Caenorhabditis elegans: one gene and its partner. The protein of the gene in region 1 interacts with the protein of each later gene in a biochemical or structural test. Each region holds a gene or a part of one and is shown on either strand. Other genes may lie near its edges.

Region 1 (4,485 bases):
GATGTGAAATTCAAGAAATTTGATCTCACACCAGCTCAAGCAACTCCTCCCCCGCATCTCTCGTCAGAGATTTTTTTTTCAAAATAAAACAAAGAAATAGGAAAAGAAAAGTTTAGATCTATGTAGTAGCAACAATAGAAATTATTTTGACGGTCGACTTGAAAAATGTTTCTTGATCTTTTCAAAATTGTTCCCAGAGTTGAGATTGGTAGCTTCCACGTAAGGTGTCGAACAGGGCACACAAGTGGTGTCAGAGTTACTCATTTTGGTTTGATCTACGTAGATCAATAATACAAAAAATGCGGGAGAAGGGGACGCAGAGTTCTCCACTGATTTCGTATGGTTAAGAACGCGCTGACGTCGCATTTTTTTTGGGCGAAAAAATCCCGCTATTTTTCTAGATCAATCCGTGATGGGACATCCTGGCACATGGCACCACATAGGCACATATAACGTTACATTTGTAATGAAAGCATCATAATCATACTCCCCGCAAAAATAACACATAATACATGATAACAAATATTTATATTTACTAGCAACAATATTTATTTTGAAGGTCGAGTTAGAAGTAGTTTCTTCATCTTTTCATAATTTTTTCCAGAATTGAAGTTGGTAGCATCGACATATGGTGTCGAGCAGGGCTCATACAATGTTGCATTTGTAGATTCCATTGTCGAAATCGCTGAATCGAATTGTTCGTAAAGAGCCGCTTGGTAATCTTCCTCGAGCTTCACATAAATCACAGTCATTTCCTCTCTGTGATTACTGATACAGAAATTTTTATCGTCGCTCATCTGAAAATAAAATAAAAATAATATGGCAATGTGGAATAGCAAAATACATCCGCCCAATGTTTGAACAAATTTAATTGAATTGAGAAGAAATAGGTAAAATTTTGTAAATTGTATTCAAATTTGCTTATCTAAAAAAGGGTAAATCCAACAAACCGTGTAAGCATCGCGATGCTTTCTTGCAAACGAGTCTACCAATGCCTGCGCTGTACTTGTAACTGTGTGATCTTCAATTAGTCGAACGGATACTTCTCTGAAAACTGGGGAATCGATGAAAATTTTATTTTTTATTTTTATAAACGTGTGACTTGGTTATTGACGAAAAAGTTCCATAAGTTTGCTACTTACGTTGGGATGTTTTCAACTTCAACTTCCTTAAGATTCTGAACTACACCGTCGGAGATCAGAACCAAATGTCTCCAGGATGGGTCGATCTAAAAGTAGAAGTTACCTGTTGGTTGGAAAATAAGCATTTAAAAAAAGAAAAGAAAACATGTTCTCATTTTGTAATCAAATCTGAGGTGTTGTGACTAATATTTTCATTGAATTTGATCTTTTATCTTGTTTTTCGTAAAATGTTCCAGAACAACATTTCATCATAGCAAACCTTTGTATACTGAACATCTGGAGTAGAAATAACCGGTGGTCCTTTTGCATTCTTGAAAGCTTCCGTCTCTTCAAACAGGTGGGTTCGTTGTAAGTCACCGATCGCTCTAGTTGGATTCAGAACTGTCTGTAAACTTATTTTGTAAAATTATTACAAAAAAAATTAATTACCTCCGGATTAATCCCTAGCCCTTTTATTCGTACAATCTCCAAAGGATTGTCATTATTGTGTAGATTTGAGTTGAGCTGCACTACGTTCTCACTGTTCATAGCAATTGCGCTGAAAGTTTTTTTTTTTCAAAAATTCCTAACAAACAGTTTCAAAAATCTTACAGAGAGTTTCCGCAATTTAGCACATATAGGTCCTGGTTAATGATCATGACTACTATGGCAGTGGTACCTTGGCGAATCTGAAAATTTGGGAGATTATAATAATTTCAAAATTTAGTCTAACTTTTTGATTGATTTCCGATACTGCATTATTTCCAGTTTCCGACTGTTCCTCCAACTTTAACAGTCGATTGTTCAAATCATCGGTGTTCATCAACAAATAACGCTCGGCAACGTTTTCAAATTTCCGTTTAAATTCTTCCACCACCTGAAAATGTAGTTGTAGAGTTGAAAATTTGATTGTTAAATCACTTGATAAGGGAGTAGTGTTGGTGTAATTGGATTTTCTCCAAAAATCTCATATACCAATCTGTTCATGACAAACTTCGCTGTTGAATCGCCACCATTAAATCCGGAAAAAATACCGTAGAGTTTGATGGGTCCATTGCTGAAAAATGAAAATTTGTTAACTTTTACTATTAATGTAATCTACTAATCTGTGTCTACATGATCTTTCATGTTTTAACAAAAAATTACGATAAATATAGTTTTATTTTTTAATTGATGTACTTGTGACATTTACTTCCTTGCAAACAAATTGTATTTAACACCTTCAATGTATCGTTCCAAAACTTTCTCTTTTCATTTTTTGTTCATTGTGTTACTAGACAAGGAAAGTGTAAAAATTGCATTTTCCCACGTAATCGTTCAGTTTATTTTCCACTGAATTGCTGTAAAATTTGACTTTTTTCCTAATTAAGATCGGTTTATGTTTCATTTTGCAACAAAAAAAGTAGAATAAACTCACTGTATGCACATGGAGCACGATAAAAAATCGTTGTTCTGCACCGGATTTTTTTGTTTTGAGTAGCGGCAGCTGTGCACAGTGCCAATGCCCGCATCGGTGTTGGCAGGGTATTGATCGAGGAACCCGTCGTCCCCCATTTTGCCTGTGCTCTGCGACTGCTCTCCTGCTTATCTACAATCAAATTCACGATGAGTTAGAGAAATAATGACAGAGAAAACGATTAATACAAACGATAAACAAATTTGTTGATTGACTACTTCTACTTTCTTTTTTATTATATAAACGTTCAATGAGCAACAACAAAAAATTCTAATCAAATTATATTTTTATATTGAAATACAATTTAAAAAAAGGGAAAAATTCTAATTCTAATCTTCAAAATCTATATCCGGTCTTTTTTCTCACGCCAAAACGCGTTTCTATTCTTATCAAAAAGCAGCAATGGCTAGCCAAGCACAAACACGTTGAGAGAATTGGCATGCCGACGCGCGCACGCACCCTCCCAAGCATACACCGCCGCGTGTGCCAAACGCGCTCCATTGGCAAAAACCGATAGTCGCAATTTGGACAATTAATGCATTTTCGCATAAATAATGAGCACATTGTTTTTGATTCAATATGTTCTATTGATGATTTTCTGTGTATTTATGTAGTTTTTTGTAGTTCGCACCTGAAAATCGATTTTTTTTGCAGAATTGTACACCGAAGATGACGTCAATAATCAAAAACCAGCTAGTCAAACATTTATCCAAGTAAGTTAATTTTTGAGTGTATTGAAAAATATTAAAAATCGATGACAACGTCAAACATATTTTTTCTCAAATAATACCCTCCTTGTTTAGTTGATAAAATGGATGTTAAAATTTTTGTAACGCCACTGGGAATTTTGCCAAAATATGCTCCAAATCGCTTAAAAAAACCAAAAATATCTTGGTAATTGCTACTTGTGACAATAAGTATAAAATTTCAAATTTTTTTTGAAAAGTTTTACTATGGAATTTAATCAAGTTTGCACCCTCAAAAAATTCACTTTTTTTCAGATTCACAAAAAACTTGAAGCCCGAGCAGATATCCTTAGACGTGTTAAAAGGAAATAGTAAACTTCAGTTTATTGAAATTAACGAAGATGTTTTGACAGAGATTTTGGTGAGTTTTAAATGTACATGCTTTCCTTGCATAAACTCAAAATTTCAGGAGCTTCCTTCGTGGTTGAAAATCAAACGAGCATTCTGTACAGGTGTAGCTGTGAATGTACCATGGACCAAATTGAAAACTTGCCCAATTCAGATTGTAGGTTGTTTTCTTTTTTTTGAATTAGAAATTGAAGTAGACAAATTTATTCTCGTATTTTGAATAATTATATCAGACAAATTAAATCTGCCAAATGTTGCATTTTTGATAACGTTTTCTATTTTGTAAAAAAAAAGTTATAAATATTTTGAAAAGTGTCATAGTCTCACATAAACTCCTTTTTCATTCAAATTCATGCTTTTATAATCGTAAAAATAATTTCAGTTCATTGATGAAATCAATGTGGATGTGGAGCTTACCAATGAGCATAAAAAACAGGCAAAATCAAATCCACTTGGGTAAGCATAGTTCTACCATTTTCGAAATTAAACCCTTCACGTTTTTGCAGAAATCTCGGTGACAGCAGTTCATACGGCTTCATGAACAAAATCATCGAAAACATGTCTTTGTATATAAGTTCTGTAGAAATTAACTTTGATTCCGACGTATTCGGAGGCTCATTTATGGTTTGTGTTTGCTCAGCCGGAAAATGTTTTAATTAATGAAATTTTTCAGCTTCAACGATTGTCAGTGGAGAGCAGAAGTCCAGGATGGGCTCAAGTGAAAGACTTGCGTCAGACTAGAATTACGTGCTCGGAGACAAATAGAACATTGATGTTTAAGCAGGTGAATTTTTAAAAAGAAACATTTCTAGAA
Region 2 (7,473 bases), on another chromosome or scaffold:
ACATATCTACGTCGGCGAATACTCTCATGCATTTCTGAAAATAAAGTTTACAGGATATTCAAGATTTAATTTTCAATTATTTACCGTGCAATAATTTGGTTCTTCAGCTTCTTTCTTATCATGAGAAGCATACATATGCAGTTGACAATCCTCTCTTCCACTACATTCGCACTTGCAAATTGGGCATCGAAAGCTGTAATTTTCAGATTTTGCATGGGATATTAGTAAGACAATAATTATAATAATTTGCGGTAAAAATACAAACGCTGGTCTTTTCACGTCTTCTTTTTTTGTAAAATACAAAAGGGCGTGCGCCTTTAAAGAGTACTGTAATTTCAAATTGAATTGAAACTTACATCTCAAACTCGAGTGGTTTAGCTTGTTCTAGAACATCGGATGCCATGTGACAGTTAGTCAATCGCATTGTAGCTCTCATGATTTTATCGTCAAATGAAGATAGTGGGATAAGCTGGTTTCGGCAGATCATATCAACCCATTTTGAAGGATCTTTACCCAATAAAAGTTTCGGAACCGATCGCTTCTTCTCTGGATTGTAATAGGGCATCGATGTCCCACGAATGACTAGAGCATCGGACGGAATAATTCCAGACGAACGCCGATTGCTGAAATCATTTTTAAGACGAGATAGATATCAGAATTCCCCTCGTACAACACATATAATTCGTGGTTCGTGTATTATACGGTGGACGTACAATAAATGTATTATTCACATAATATAATGGACGAAGTTCTTAAAATTCGTGCAATGCAATGTGAATAACATATTTATTGTACGTCCAATGTATAATATACGTACCACGAACTATTTGTGAAGGTGAAGGGTCGACCGATTGCCAACCTCGAATATGGTCTATAAGCAGCTTCCAACTCTTCTTTGCTTGTCACATGAGTTCGCATGTGCTTTTTCATGTTTCCTTTCAATCGGAACTGTTTTCCACAAAATGGACACACATAAGGGGTATAGCCGGTGTGAACGGTACGATGCTCGAACATATTCGATTTGTATCGGAATCCTCGGCCACAAACATCGCAGATGTATGGTTTGGTGTCGGTATGAATCACAGAGTGCTGTTGGAGACCTGAAATGTTTTTTTTTATTTCAGCTTTCTATTTTTATGCGAATAACCTTTATAATTCATAAACATTTTATTACACACATTACACTGATGAACAGCAAACGGGGCGACTTCTTCTTGTTGATAGGTTCCGAACTAGAAACATTTCAATAATCTTAAAAATAAGAATCGAAATAAAATACCGTTATAGAAGCTTCGTAGTCCTCGCCGTCGTAAGATGGATCCGTTCGGTCATCAATAATTGACATCTGAAGTAAAAAATAAAATTTTTTGAAGAAAAAATGCAGACAATTTGTTGGTTTAAACATAAAATTAAGACAAACAAAACTCATAAATTAATTGACAGCTTCTCTAAATTTTAGGATTACCGTGTTTGACAGTTTCGTGGTGAGACCCAAAAGTTTCGTTGCGTCATGCGCCTTTGAGCACAGTGTCCCCAACAAAGAATTGTTTCTGCAATTTCGAATTAAGCTGAAAACATTATTTATATATTTAACAAAATTAGTTTAGAACAGAAGAACAGAAAATTAGAACATTTTCGATCTTTGTATTTTTTATACAAATATAATTTGAATAAATTTCCATACTTCTTCCCCGTTGTGTAATTTCTTTACTTTTCAGAACTTAAAACATTCAATTATTCTTTATTTTGAATTTTCTGTAAAACCTGCGCAATTGAATTTTATGTATTTATCAAAACAATTTTCAGCCATGCTACAGTAACTTCTTTAAAATCATCATTCTTCCTTGTCTAAATCGGAAATCTGTCTGTGTCCCGTTGGTCTATTTTGTTATTCGTCTGCAGTTTCTTCTACTTGTGCACTATATCGTTTCCACTGAGCGAGAGAAAGAGTATACACACACAACACATGCCAGTTCCTGTCCTTTGCCGCCCATCACCATTTTTTTCACCGTTTCGGCTCTGAAATGGACAATTCGTCACAGAGCAAACCGTCTAGTAGTTCGTCCAGTCATTCGCCAAGTCCTGCCGCAATTGTAAGTTTAATGGATTTTGAGTAAAGAAAAATAACGTTTTCTTGTAAAAACAGTATTGTATTTAATTTTTAAAAAAATCAGTTGAAGACGTATAAAGCCTGCTTTTACCAAAACTATCAATAAAAATCACTGAAAACTCAATAAATTAATAAATTCAGACACCAACACAACGAACAACACGAGATTCCGGATTGTGCTCAACAATTGATATTCCCGAAATTCAAGCACAATGTATTGATAATTTAAATAGTCATTATCTCGGAAAAGGCACTTATGGATTGGTTGAGAAAACAAGATATAGAAAAACTAGGCAGGATGACTTTAGGTTCGTTTCTAGCTTCAAAAATTTAAATTTAATTCTTTTAAAGCATGAGGAATTATCAAAAGTTAACAAAAAATCAATAAAATCACCAAAATATTATTTTCAGGCCAGCAGCAATCAAATATTCTTCTCAACTTCATATGGCAACTCTTATAAGAGAAGCAAAAGTTATGTGGGATCTCAGAAATCATCCTAATATTATAAAGTATGTTTTTATAAATGGAAAATACTGAAAATAGAAGTTTTTCAGAATTTATGGACTGTACAAAAGCCCTCGGAATGGGCAAGGAGTCGTTATGGAATATATGGATTGTGGAAGCATGGCCGATTGTGAGATTTTCATTTAAATTTAGTGAAAATCCCCGATTTCGCCAAATTTTTTAACATTTTGTCGGTTTATTCCGTGTTTCTTAGCGAATTAAACTACATTTTTTCGGCAATAGGAACAGAAATTTCTATCAGCTAAAAATATATTAAAATACATCAAAAAAGCGGATTATACTGCAAAATATGGAAGAAACTGAATAAAAATCAATATATGGACGCTGTAACACGAAAAATCTGGCAAAAAAAATTTCACTATAATTTTGAACAAAAAAAATGCTATTTGGTTTTTTTTTTCCATTTTTAGTCTTAAAAAAATCGCTTTAAATTCTCCAAACCCTGTTTTTTACGAAATTAAAAATTCATTTCAATGAGGCAATTCTCCAAAATAAAATTTAGCTGAAAAATCTATTTTTTTTTCAGTACTCTACGACAGAACACACATTAATTATACAATTGATCATGTGGCTTCATGGATGTTTCAACTATCATCCGCCGTCGATTTTTTCCATTCCAACAGCCAAGTTCACAGAGATTTGAAACTTCAAAAGTGAGTTTTTGATAGCAGAAATTATTGAAAGAAATATATATGTTGGATGTGAAGATGTTTTCAGTGATTTTTGAAAATTAACAGAAAAATATTGAAATTTTTTTCTTTACTATTAGCTAATATATTAGGTAAATTTTTTAAAAGTTGAAAGAATTAATGGCGGAGATCCTGTCAATTTAACAATTTAGATTTTAGAAAAATTCAACAAAATCTTTTGAAATTTTAAGTGAATTTAGTACAGAAAAGCAGAAATGTTTCGAATCCATTTTTAGACATTCGAAAAATTAATTTTAAAGGGTTCTACATTTTTGTGTGAGCTATTTTTTTTATTTTTTTAAGCAAAAAGTTCCTTGAAAATTGGTCCACAAAATAATGTGTAAAATCTAAAAAAAATCATTTTTAAAAAATAATATTTCAAAGTGGATTTAAAAATATCCTCCAAGAAGAACTAATCATATGAAAATAATTTTAAAAAGCCATTTTAAAAGTAAAAATGAGGAATTTCTTAATTTTTGTAGCTTTTCAAATTTCAATAAATTATCAGAAATCTTTAGCGGTCAGTTTTCAAAATTAAAATTAAATCACCTACTGTGGTCAATCAAAATAATTTCAGCATGCTTCTCTCTGATCGATATCGAACAATGAAATTATGTGATTTTGGAACATTTACCTCAATGCATCAATCAATGACTTCAAATCGTGGAACTCCAATCACAATGGCTCCAGAAGTATTTCGATGTGAACAGTATAATATGAAATCTGACATCTACAGTATTGGAATTATAATGTGGCAAATTATTGCTAGAAATCATCCGTATCGAAGAGATCTCTCAGTTCCTGGACTTTTATATAATGTTGCGACAGCTAACTTACGTCCACAAGAACTCGAATGTAATCCTATTTTGTCTGAATTTTATAAGAAATGTTGGAATGATAATGCTGATATTCGACCGACTTCTTCCGAATGTGTAGAATATTTTACTCTTCTAAAAGATGTAAGTTCTTTTAAAAAATTAAAAATTAAATACTCAACCAGTTAAAAACAATTTTTTTGAATTGAACAAATATTTCTAAAAATACAAAATTAAAATTTTTGGACAATCTCGAAAGAAGGTGCTGCAAAGCAAATTAAATTTTTTGTTTTCGAATTTTTTATTGCGAAGAAATTAAAGTATTTATTGAATTTATTTTAAAGTTTTTAAATTTTAAAAATTGTGTTATTCCAACACAATTTTTAATTTTATCTGAGAATTACTGTATTCGTGATAAGACCTGCTTTTCTATGAAACATATGAATCTCGCCAAACTCCAAAAAAACTAATTTTTTTTGCATTAAAGGAATATCCGAATGGGAGCGTACCTTTATCGGATTCTTCAACAAATGGACCAGCAGAAACTCCTCCACCACATGCTCATCGACCAACAATGCTTGGAACTTCTTCTGGAAGTGGAATAGGATCAAATAATCGAACACCAACTGCTTCAAAACTTTTAAATCCTCAACAACCTGGACAGGGTCATAGAAGAAATCGTAGTGAGACTTTTGTAGTGCAACCGGTAAGATTTTCATTTGGATAGCTTGAAAAACAGAAAATTGAAATTTTAGGATCTACCGTATCCAACGGTTCCGGGTGAAGCTGGTGCATCTAGAATACCAAAATCTCAAAGTGAAGCTAAAAATTTTCGGGATAGAGCCAAAAGCGAGCAAAGGTAGGAATTAATGGAAATGGAGATGAGGACTGTCCTGTTTTTGGGGTTTTTCGGATAAGAAACTAAATATCTAAAGACATGCAAATTTAGACTAGAATAATTGAAAAAAACATTTTCGATTATTTTTCAGACGAAATTAAAAAAAATTGAAAAAATTGTTGTCTTTCTATTTTCTCGCAAAAACCGAAAAAAACGTTTAGAAAATTAACTAAAGGATTAAATGTTTAAAAACTTGTTTTTATGAAAAAAACAAAGAAAGCATGTAATTTTCTTTATAGAAAAGAAAAATTACCAAAATTTGAAGCTATTTTTCAAACATCGATTTTTCAATTTTTTCAGAGAAAGTCAAAAAATTTAAAAACGAACATTGTTTGATTTTTCTGAAATTCTAATAATAGAAAAAACGAAAAAAAGTGTAATAAATATCAATTTAAAAAATGAAACTATTAATTTATCAAAAAATTCATATTTCGATGAGAAAATACGAAAATTGCTTTTAAAAATAGAAATATGACCGAAAAGTATTTAAAATTTGGCATTTTCCAAAAATAAAATAATTTTTTTAAATTTTAGCTTCTTTGGTTCTTAGAGAAATTAAAAAACTAACACTTTGATGGGTATTTCTACAAAAGTAGACATTTATTTTTTCCATTGACGTGGTGTATTATGAAATATCTCTTTTTTTCAGGCAACCACATAGAGACGCACGTCCTCCTCCTCCTTTTGAGCACCGAAGAGATAGCAACGATGAGGAAAAACATGCCGTTTTTATGAATATTTGTTCGAATGAGGAGACTAGAGTAATCCTTCGATGAGATTTGAATTAAATATAATAACATTCAATTTTTCAGCCTATTGATCCTGATACTCGTGACGAAAAATCTTTGGAAATCTTTCATCAACACTGTGATAATAATAAACAATATGCAGATGCTTGGGTCATTAAAAAAGAAGTTATGAGAGCTAAGTTAGTTGAAATTGCTATGTTTCAATGTAAAAAATTTGTTTTAAGATAAAAAGCATTTCTGGAAAAGAGGAAAAATTCAAATTTTGTATCATTGCATTTTCCGAAAAAAAAATCGAAAAAGTGTTTAGATTTTAATTTACGAAAATATCAGCTTTTCATCAAATTGTGTTAAGTTTGTGAAAAAAAAACAATTAAACATGTCATTTTCATTTGATAAAATAAAAAATTATCAAAATAAAAAACTAGTTTAAATATCAAAAAATCTAAATTTTTTGAAAATATCTAAATATTGAATAACAAAAATTACATATTTTTCGATTTTTTATTTCAAATCGAAAAAGCGAAATAATTTTTTTCTAAAACAAAAAGTGCAATTTCAAGTGTTTTTTTTTGAAAAATTATAATTTTAAAAAGTTTTAAGTAACAAAAATTATGGATTATTTATTTTCCAAAATAACGGTGAAAATTTTAAATATCCTGACCGAAATTTTGCTTAAATCAAATTCAAGTCCAATTGAAAAATACAATTAAAAATTTCAGACATGAGCTAATTGCCCAATGGCCTCAACACGATCACACGGTAGAACTTCTTGAACGGAAATATTATCTGGAACAAGAAATTGCAAGATATCGGGACATCCAAGATGATAATTACTTTTCAACTGAAAGAATGTGAACTCATTTCACTTTTTTTAAAAACATTCTTAGATGTATACTCATCTCTAAATAACTTTTATCTATATACTCACTTCTTGTTCAATTTGAATTCTGATCACTTCCTGTCAACTTTCTCTTTCAGTCCCTCTTTTCCTGTCAAACTTCTCTCTCCTCTTTAAAACGCTGGTCGCTGCCGTCTGTCCTTCCGAAGTTCTAAATGTAATTGTTATTATCTATAGATTTGTGTATTTAGTGTCTAGATATCATTACATGACTGTCGATTTTATGACAAGAAAACGTTTTGTGGAATTATCTATCTACACATCCAACATCTGAACGTATCACCCATGCCAACGTGCATATAAAGAGTGATACGAACGGCAGTGAAGAGACAGTCTACTGAAATGGGTTACGGTACCAATGTGGCTTCTGGTGTTACTGTCATTTGTGCAGCTTTTCTTATTCCAATGCTAACATGTACTATTTCTTTATTTTATGAAGTTGCACAAATGCACATGAGTGCAATGGATGGAATGGATGAATTCAAGGTGAGAGGCTAATTGCAGATAGTAGGCTTAAGCTTATGTTTAAGCTTCACCAGAAGATGCAAATATTTTTAGTATTTAAAAAACATTGATTGACTTATTGCTAAATGATTATCATAGTCTCGAAGCGACAAAAAATGTTTAAGTAAGTCTGCGAAAAAAATGGTTGTGCGCCTTAAAAAAGTACAGTATTTTTCACTACCCTTTAATTTGCAACTAATCTCAATATTTTCCATAAACGTAAACATATGAAAACTATACAGCAAAATGAATGAAAATTAATGTACTCTTTAAAGGTGAAAACT

What was found.
Region 2: of the proteins of tap-1 (region 1) and mom-4, one has a biochemical effect on the other in vitro, tested with the Caenorhabditis elegans proteins (2 studies listed by BioGRID).

Annotation. Positions count from the first base shown.
Region 1 is NC_003284.9:14,587,848-14,592,332, reverse strand, and holds tap-1 (TGF-beta-activated kinase 1 and MAP3K7-binding protein 1), read right to left. Parts: upstream 2,710-4,485; 5' UTR 2,676-2,709; coding exon 2,539-2,675; intron 2,179-2,538; coding exon 2,043-2,178; intron 1,999-2,042; coding exon 1,855-1,998; intron 1,811-1,854; coding exon 1,734-1,810; intron 1,681-1,733; coding exon 1,572-1,680; intron 1,528-1,571; coding exon 1,402-1,527; intron 1,229-1,401; coding exon 1,143-1,228; intron 1,048-1,142; coding exon 951-1,047; intron 798-950; coding exon 549-797; 3' UTR 512-548; downstream 1-511. Other genes in the region: bltp-3B (Chorein N-terminal domain-containing protein), read left to right, coding at 3,247-3,290, 3,579-3,684, 3,733-3,828, 4,054-4,127, 4,178-4,295, 4,345-4,455. UniProt on the Caenorhabditis elegans protein: Involved in the Wnt signaling pathway by regulating mom-4 kinase activity.
Region 2 is NC_003279.8:9,895,151-9,902,623, reverse strand, and holds mom-4 (Mitogen-activated protein kinase kinase kinase mom-4), read left to right. Parts: upstream 1-1,806; 5' UTR 1,807-2,024; coding exon 2,025-2,093; intron 2,094-2,251; coding exon 2,252-2,418; intron 2,419-2,521; coding exon 2,522-2,620; intron 2,621-2,665; coding exon 2,666-2,745; intron 2,746-3,162; coding exon 3,163-3,289; intron 3,290-3,902; coding exon 3,903-4,284; intron 4,285-4,627; coding exon 4,628-4,846; intron 4,847-4,895; coding exon 4,896-4,999; intron 5,000-5,687; coding exon 5,688-5,799; intron 5,800-5,850; coding exon 5,851-5,966; intron 5,967-6,506; coding exon 6,507-6,642; 3' UTR 6,643-6,946; downstream 6,947-7,473. Other genes in the region: lsl-1 (C2H2-type domain-containing protein), read right to left, coding at 1-34, 85-193, 357-623, 860-1,100, 1,148-1,232, 1,280-1,345; col-64 (Nematode cuticle collagen N-terminal domain-containing protein), read left to right, coding at 7,028-7,171. UniProt on the Caenorhabditis elegans protein: Part of the Wnt signaling pathway essential for the specification of the mesodermal cell fate in early embryos. Stimulates the wrm-1/lit-1-dependent phosphorylation of pop-1 and plays a role in the initial nuclear accumulation of wrm-1.